Linked DNA regions of Arabidopsis thaliana. The protein of the gene in region 1 interacts with the protein of each later gene in a pairwise test. Each region holds a gene or a part of one and is shown on either strand. Other genes may lie near its edges.

Evidence for each region.
Region 2: the proteins of PFD1 (region 1) and NAP5 interact in a protein complementation assay, tested with the Arabidopsis thaliana proteins (one large-scale study listed by BioGRID).

The regions. Positions count from the first base shown.
Region 1 is NC_003071.7:3,043,455-3,047,553, forward strand, and holds PFD1 (PREFOLDIN 1), read left to right. Parts: upstream 1-2,068; 5' UTR 2,069-2,189; coding exon 2,190-2,213; intron 2,214-2,322; coding exon 2,323-2,376; intron 2,377-2,587; coding exon 2,588-2,693; coding exon of another isoform or gene 2,694-2,697; intron 2,698-2,772; coding exon 2,773-2,779; intron 2,780-2,859; coding exon 2,860-2,944; intron 2,945-3,041; coding exon 3,042-3,152; 3' UTR 3,153-3,450; downstream 3,451-4,099. UniProt on the Arabidopsis thaliana protein: Binds specifically to cytosolic chaperonin (c-CPN) and transfers target proteins to it. Binds to nascent polypeptide chain and promotes folding in an environment in which there are many competing pathways for nonnative proteins.
Region 2 is NC_003070.9:26,883,420-26,887,308, reverse strand, and holds NAP5 (non-intrinsic ABC protein 5), read left to right. Parts: upstream 1-2,139; coding exon 2,140-2,370; intron 2,371-2,466; coding exon 2,467-2,553; intron 2,554-2,638; coding exon 2,639-3,295; downstream 3,296-3,889. Other genes in the region: GDPD4 (PLC-like phosphodiesterases superfamily protein), read left to right, coding at 1-254, 341-438, 543-603, 694-774, 876-968, 1,215-1,304, 1,378-1,505, 1,585-1,753; AT1G71320 (F-box family protein), read right to left, coding at 3,491-3,889.

The DNA.
Region 1 (4,099 bases):
AGCTTTTGCAAATCCATCGGGACAGGTCCTTTAACAGGCTCACTATATTGTGCTTTATACACAGCTGCTATCACCCTTGAAGTTGCCTTCTTCTTGTACATTTTCCGAGTTTCCACAGAACAAGTATGGTCTAGTTTAGCTTTGCGTATCTCATAATATCCACTCTCAGGCATTTCATGAGCTGTTACCCGCCAATCACATTTCTCATCGGCACAGTTTAAAACAAATGAATCAAGTTTTGTGCGTGTTTGTTTGAAGTGAAACATATGCCTAATAGCATATATAGCTAATCCAATTTGGCAATCCGACTTGCTAGCATAAACTTTTCCTTTATATACATCTTCACCGTCAGCCCTATCTATATCCGGCATTATGGCAGCTTCATACTCCGTGTCATCAAACAGAGGAGGAATATCAAACTCTTCATCGTCCACATCCGACAGCTTCCTATTTTCTCTTGCAGTTTCATTTGTATTACAATCACCTGTTCTATTGTTAACAACTTTTCCCGTTCCACTGCTGTTTGCAAGTAAATCAGTTGGATGCTTAATCGAAGACGTTATCAAATCATCAATTTCCATGTTCGAACCTGCACCTTCCACACTGGCCACCAATTCTGTGTCTACTGTTGGTGACGCAAATCCCATTCTAACATCAGCATCTTCTTCCCCGACACATATTATATCCAATGCATTTGAGCCACCCATGTCCTCATCCAAGAATGGGCTCCAAAACTCCACATCATAAGATTGGGGTTTTACTTCTATAATCTCATCCCAAGTAAGATCTTCGCTTCCTTCATCCACTAGATCTTCATCATCAAGATCTTCAGATAAAATTTCACTAACAAGAGGACCTCGTTCACAACCTATAACTCTTTCTATAGTTTCAAGTTCTGCAACAAATTCTTCATCTTCGGAGGACAGCAAAAATTCTTTCAACCCGACCTTCGATATACTATCTTCTGATCCACATAAACGTTTCGACTTATTCCCTCTTCCGTCATCTTCCTTAACTGAACTGGTCTTCACTAGCCCACCGTCAACCTCAGAATTGTTTAAAACTCTTTTACAAGATGTTCCAAACTTTACAAACATGTTGGTTCCAACATTTGCTTCCAATATCTTCATAAAATAACTTAGCCCCACATCAGTCGTCACGACGACCGGTGGTGTTTTATCTCCGGTGGTAAAATCTCTTATATTTGGGGTACAGAAGCTTAAATCAACCTTCGTACTCGTTGAAATTCCAAATTCTACTCTAATGGCTTCCACGAATTCTGATAGCTTAATACCTTTATATACAGGCACAATTCGAGATTTCATTACCTTATTAACCTCAACATACCACTTCTCATCCTCCTCGCAATTCCAATCCCCGCATATTACATAACAGAAGCCATCCTCAGTTCCCTGCAATATATAAATTTTTTATCTTAGACAGTCAATAATATATCAGCGAATATTTTCTACTATTGTTACCAATCCATTTTTTCTTACCATCGTTATGATATCTTTGTTAGTTGCTTCAAACTTCAGAGCTTCTCTTTCTTTTGTTCATCGTCATTCAAACTTCGATGACATAGTTATTCGTTCCATGCTTTCTCCGGTTTGCAAAAACAAAATAAACCGGTTTCCCCAAACTCTTACCCTAAATAACCGATTTTACTTGATTTAATTAATAGGGTCAATTAAGTCTTTTTCCCCCTTATAATTGATCACCCTTATAATTGATCAGAAGTGTGCCTGTCGGCAAAACTTTTGCTCAACATGTTTTCGAAAGTGTATGATAATGCAAATCACCCTTAAAATATAATATGGTAAAATAATTTGGTGGTGTTAGCTGAATTGGTTACGATACAAACAATGGTTTGGGTGGTTGATTATACAAGAAAAAAAAGACAATGACTTTGAGTCTTTGATTTACAAAATCATGGTACAATCTAAAACCAAATGGGTAAATTAAATTGTGTTATTGGGTAGAATTGTTTGTTCCAATGCAAACACATATTTTTTTAAAAGTATAAAATCATCGTTAATTATAAATGGGCCGATTTGACCCAATAAAGCCTTGATAAACCGGGCTAAGCCGTCTGAAACCCGACCCGGGTAGTTCTAACTTTTTGACCCTAAAACGAAAGACCCTTCTCTAGCACGTCGGGGTTCGTTCAAAGATCAAGATCTGCAGACATGGCGGACGAAGCAACCAGAGCTGTGAGTACCTCTCTCTCTCTTAAATCAGCTCAATTTTCTAGTGGAATATTCTTCTTTCCCCAGTAAGATGTTGCAGAAAATGGAATTGTAATGTGTATAGTTACAACAGGCTTTTATGGAGATTCAAGCTAGCATGATTGAACTCACTGGGAAGCTCAAACAGGTGAATCCTCACTTTCTTTGTATTTATCAAGTTTTAGAATCAAACGTGACACATTGTATAAGGGTTTACTTGTAATTTGTTAGTTCTTGAACTGTGTTTGGTTTTATAATCCCTTCTTTCATGTTGTGTAATGACAAAATTGGCTTTCCTAGGTTATTGTCATGTGGTGCTGAAAAACTGAAATGTGAATGTGGATGGGTTTTATATATAGGTGCAGAATCAGATGCGCAACAAAGAGGGAGATAGAAAGCGAGCTTTCTTAACCTTGGAGGAGCTGAGGCCATTGCCTGAAGAGACAAACACCTACAAGTCAATAGGCAAGTGATTCAATTCTCTGGTTTTGAGACAAGGACTAGTAAAGTTTTGGTCTAATTTGTGTTTTATTCTTGTTTTCAGGAAGAACGTGAGTGGTGGTTATTAGTCAGTCCAACTAGAGGCCTTTAGAGAATTTTGAAGGCTGATTATAGTTTGTATGGTGAACAGGTTTGTTCTAGAGCCCAAGACAGTGCTGGAGGGTGAACAAGAGCAAAAACTCAAGGACAGTGAAGCTGCCGTTGCTTCTCTACAGGTAACAATCATTCCCTCTTTCAACATCTTATTGGGTTATTAGGAGATCATTGAGATGCTGGTTATCAAACATGTTTTGTTTTCGGGATGATTTTTAGACATCCAAGGAATACTTGGAGAAGCAGGTAGCAGAGGTTGAGAACAACTTGAGGGAGCTGTTGCAGCAAGAACCGGGCATTGCTCAACAGATTATGTCCATGTCTATGTAACTTTTGTATTATCCCAAACCTTTGAGTTTGGAGAGCTTTTGGGATTGAAACCATAACATGTTCTAGTTAAAAGTTGTAACATTCAAAAGTTTTTGTTCGATCAGTATTGTTTTAAAGCCTCTGGTCTATGATATTGCAAAAAACTGAGATTTCTTATGCGACAACAAATGCATGATCTATCTAACTCGAAAACAAAAATTTTAACAAGGATGAGGTCTCTCTATGATTCTTCGGAGAGAAAACTCAATCCTTGTTCCACCGTTCGGTATGCTTACCGGCTTTCGTTGTCCGGATGAGAAGACTTTGTTTCCGGTGTGGTCTGGCTCTGTTTTCGGTGTGATTCGGCTCATATTTCGGGTATTTGTTGCTAAAATGGAATTCGCTTTGTTTCTTGAGGGAAGATTAGGATAAGTCGATTGAATAATTTTCCGGCGATCTTGGCCGGAATTGAAGCTTTCTGATCAACGGAGACTCTCACATCTTCAACTTTGCATGTGTCTTCTAACCTGCTTCCTGCTTGCCACATGTCTAATATAATGCATTTAAGCTTTTCCTTCAGCTTTCTTATTGGACTTTGTTTTCTTTTGTTTGGCTTCCTTGGTTTAGTGTTTGTAAAATATTGGCATGTTACTTTGGCTTTCTATACTAAATAAAACACACTTTTGACAAAAAAAAAAAAAAAAAAAGACTACAACTCGAGATTGCATCTAACATTGTGAATATATATAAATTTAACCTCACAATCTAAACACAAGTAGATGTAATATATATTATGAATTCAGTGAAACAATAGTTAAAACTCAAGTTGATCAATCATCAATAGCATGTGAGCAATAAGTGTCAAAAGAGATACACATACACATCAAACCCCAACAAATACATTCCTTCATGTACACTGATTTTACACTACCTCTTCAAGGAAATCATGGATCATAATGTCTATTGGC
Region 2 (3,889 bases), on another chromosome or scaffold:
AATGGCGGCACAGAAGACGGCCATTCGACGGCGGAGGAACTCGTCGCCGTCGTTTCTTCAGCCCATTGTATTCGAGAAATTTCAAGAGAACGATTCTCTTCGCTGTGATTTTCTTAGCTATCTTCCCTCCTCTCTACTTCCATTTCAAGCTCCGACGAATTCGTCAGATTGTCGCGCAAAAGTGCGATTGGCTTCACCATCCTCCACTTGTCTGTGCTCACGGCGGCGATTCCACCCTCGCTTTCCCAAACACTGTACGTACACTCTCGATCTCTTCTTCTTCACACTCTTGCTACTAACCTTTTTAAACCTTAATCTCTTGGACTCTTCTCAATCGTAGATGGACGCTTACAGTTTCGCTATACGTTCTCGAGTTGATTGCATTGAAGTCGATGTTTCTCGTTCCTCCGATGGTGTTTTATTCGCTCTTCACAACAGGTTACAGACTCTGATCCTTGTTGTATCATCTTCTTCTAATGTTTCTGTGTTTGGATTCTCATCGGTGTTCTTCTTATTCATCTTCTGATCACACGCACAGTCAGGGATCTGCAGCGTATTGCTCGTAACTCTTCTGTTCAAGTTGGAGATCTGAGTATGAAACAGGTCTCATCTCTCCCTCTCTCTCTTTACCAGCTTTTGGGATATGCTTTTTTGCATCCATTTTTCATAAACCTTTTGATGATCTTTTTGCAGATCAAGGAACTCGATGTCTCGGAGATTGTTAAAGGAACCTTGGGAAGTAGTAGGATTCCTACTCTTGAAGAGGCTTTAGCGGTAATGCCTGTTTTTTTAATTACTATCTTGTCATTGCTTTGCTTTGTAATTTCTGCTTAGTAACAAGTGGCTGAAGCTAGTTTTGATCTTGAATCATCTAGTTGATATCGAATTCAGTCCGGAAAGTGATCCTTGATGCCAAAGTTGGACCGCCAATGTATGAAAAGGGGTTAGCACAAGACATCCTTTCTATTGTAAGTACTATGTTTTTGTTAGCTCTTGTACTTGTAAAGCTTTAGTACAATGTGCTCGAGATTTATAAACATGTTTTGATTCCTTAATAGCGTTGCTTAATCATTTATTTCCTGGTATCTTTGTACACAAAGCTAGAACAGCTTACTATAGATACTTGAAAAAACAAGAGTATGGATAAATTGTTGATGTTTCAATGGTGGTATTTCTGGCTTTGCTCACATGAATCGCCAATCCTCTGTTGTTAGATTGAGAGAGCGCAGTGCAATAATTGCATCGTATGGGCCAAAAGCGACACTTTGGCTAGGGACATAATTAGACGAGCACCAGATACTATGGTAAACAGAAATGGATTGTCTTGTGAGGATCAGATAGAGAAGTTTCTTGCTCATTTCCTAGTGATTTTGGCAGGTGGGATACATTGTGATGGTAGATCCTTTGACTGGGGCGAGAAACAGCCTGCTGAGAATGAAGGGAGCTAGGGTTGTGGGAGTTTATCATCCCTTGATCGATGAAGAATTAGTTAGAGTTGTCCGTCGGTAAGCAATCGATTTCAATGTTTTCAAATAAAAACACACCTGCTCATGTGTTTACAACCTTGCTCGATCTGATCAACAGGAGAAACAAAGAGGTGTATGCATGGACTGTGGATGATGCTGATCCCATGAAAAGGATGCTTCACTTAGGTGTGGATGCTGTTGTGACGAGCGATCCATCTATGTTTCAGGGTCTCATGGAAGATCTTAGAACTGAGTGTCTTGAAGAAGGTTTTTCAATACGGACGTGAGAATTTCTTTTTCGAGCATTCTTAATGACTGTAATACCAACTCAGAAGTTTTTGGCAAAGATCTTTCTTTATGTTGTTTTGCTGATCCACAAGTTTTTGACAACTACACACTACGACGCCTTGATACACAGTAAGACGAGTCTTTCTCAAGAAAAGCAAAGTATGGCCGGTTCTTGATGAAGCCATTGCTTCTATCGATACAGCTACTGATAATCTGATCCAGGAGACTCTGAGGCAACACTTTTCGGACTGCACAGTGAAAACAATCTCACACAGATATCTTCTTTTATACATAACGATATGAGCCTGCTCCTAGAACAAGGTCTAATACACTTGTATTTAAGTTTAAATAATCAGATGACTGATATTAAGTCTGTTTATATAATATGGATAGAGAACGATATGATAAGGTGATTGAAGCATGTTCTTTGAGTAAAGATCTGGAGATACTTTCATTCGGTGATCAGACCGTCATTGGAGAACGCGGCATCAATTTGAGTGGTGGACAAAAGCAAAGAATACATATTGCACGCGCTCTCTACCAAGATGCGGACATCTATCTGTTTGATGATCCTTTTAGTGCTGTCGATGCACACACAGGGTCACATCTCTTTAAGGTACAATCTTCTTACTTAGCCATTAGTGTGATTGTGATTTCTCCTTCCGTAAACAATCATGTATCAAATTTATTTTCATTCTCATACTTTTTTCAGGAAGCTCTACGAGGGCTTTTATGTTCTAAATCGGTTATATATGTAACCCATCAAGTTGAGTTCTTACCTTCTGCTGATCTTACACTGGTATGTGAATAGTTCACTGTCTTTTATCATTTTCTACAGCACTGAGAATATGAAATCATCCATAACCGATTTTCTTATGCCTCAGGTCATGAAAGATGGGAGAATCAGCCAAGCTGGAAAATATAATGATATCCTCATCTCTGGAACAGATTTCAGGGAGCTTATAGGTGCGCATCAAGAGTCTCTGGCAGTAGTTGGGTCGGCTGATGCCAGTTCTGTTTCTGAAAACTCAGCTTTAGACGAAGAAAATGGTGTTGTGAGAGATGATATTGGTTTCGACGGGAAACAAGAAAGTCAAGATCTGAAGAACGATAAATTAGATTCTGGGGAGCCCCAAAGACAATTTGTTCAAGAGGAAGAGAGGGCGAAAGGTAGCGTCGCTTTGGATGTATACTGGAAATATATCACACTGGCATACGGAGGAGCTCTTGTGCCTTTCATATTGTTGGGGCAAATTCTCTTTCAGCTTCTACAGATTGGAAGTAACTACTGGATGGCTTGGGCTACTCCTATTTCTGAGGATGTGCAAGCTCCTGTGAAACTTTCTACGTTAATGGTTGTGTATGTTGCTTTGGCATTTGGAAGTTCCCTCTGCATTCTTGTTAGAGCCACGCTTCTTGTCACGGCTGGTTACAAGACTGCTACTGAACTGTTTCATAAAATGCATCACTGCATTTTCCGTTCTCCAATGTCTTTTAAAATTGCAAAAACTTGTTCAAAAACTTGTATATATTCATCATAACTATATCCAAATATGTATTATATTGACAGAAAGAAAGAAAACAAGAGAAAATAAAACATAAAAATAATCCATAATGTCAAATAAAGAAATTACAATATACTTAAAATAAATAAATATCTAAACATCTTTTTTTTAAAAATATTCTTTTTAACTTACATATAATATTGTTAAAAATTGAAAGTATAATTAACAACATCAAAGCATCAAATTTGAAGGAGAAATCATTGTTGGCAAATACGAAATCGTTCTTTGTCTAAAAAAAGAAACTTGATCTTGACGATTTCTGATATTTGAAAAATAGGCAGCCGCTAGACCAAGCATCCAAAACTTTTCATGTAATTGGTTGGTTCTTATAACGTCAATCTTAATAGAATATATTTTCTCCCATTTTTCGGTAGGATATTCTTGGTGTAAACTCCAAACGACCAAATTTGAACTTTCTAGCACATCCGATAGGCACAAACGTTCATTCAGATTCCACATTTCTATATTAGTAGCATATTTGGTGTCACACTCTGGTAATAATATCCATCGAAATTCTTCAGTGTGAAGATCGATAGCTAATAGCTGGTAAGATGTTTGACTAAGCTTCTT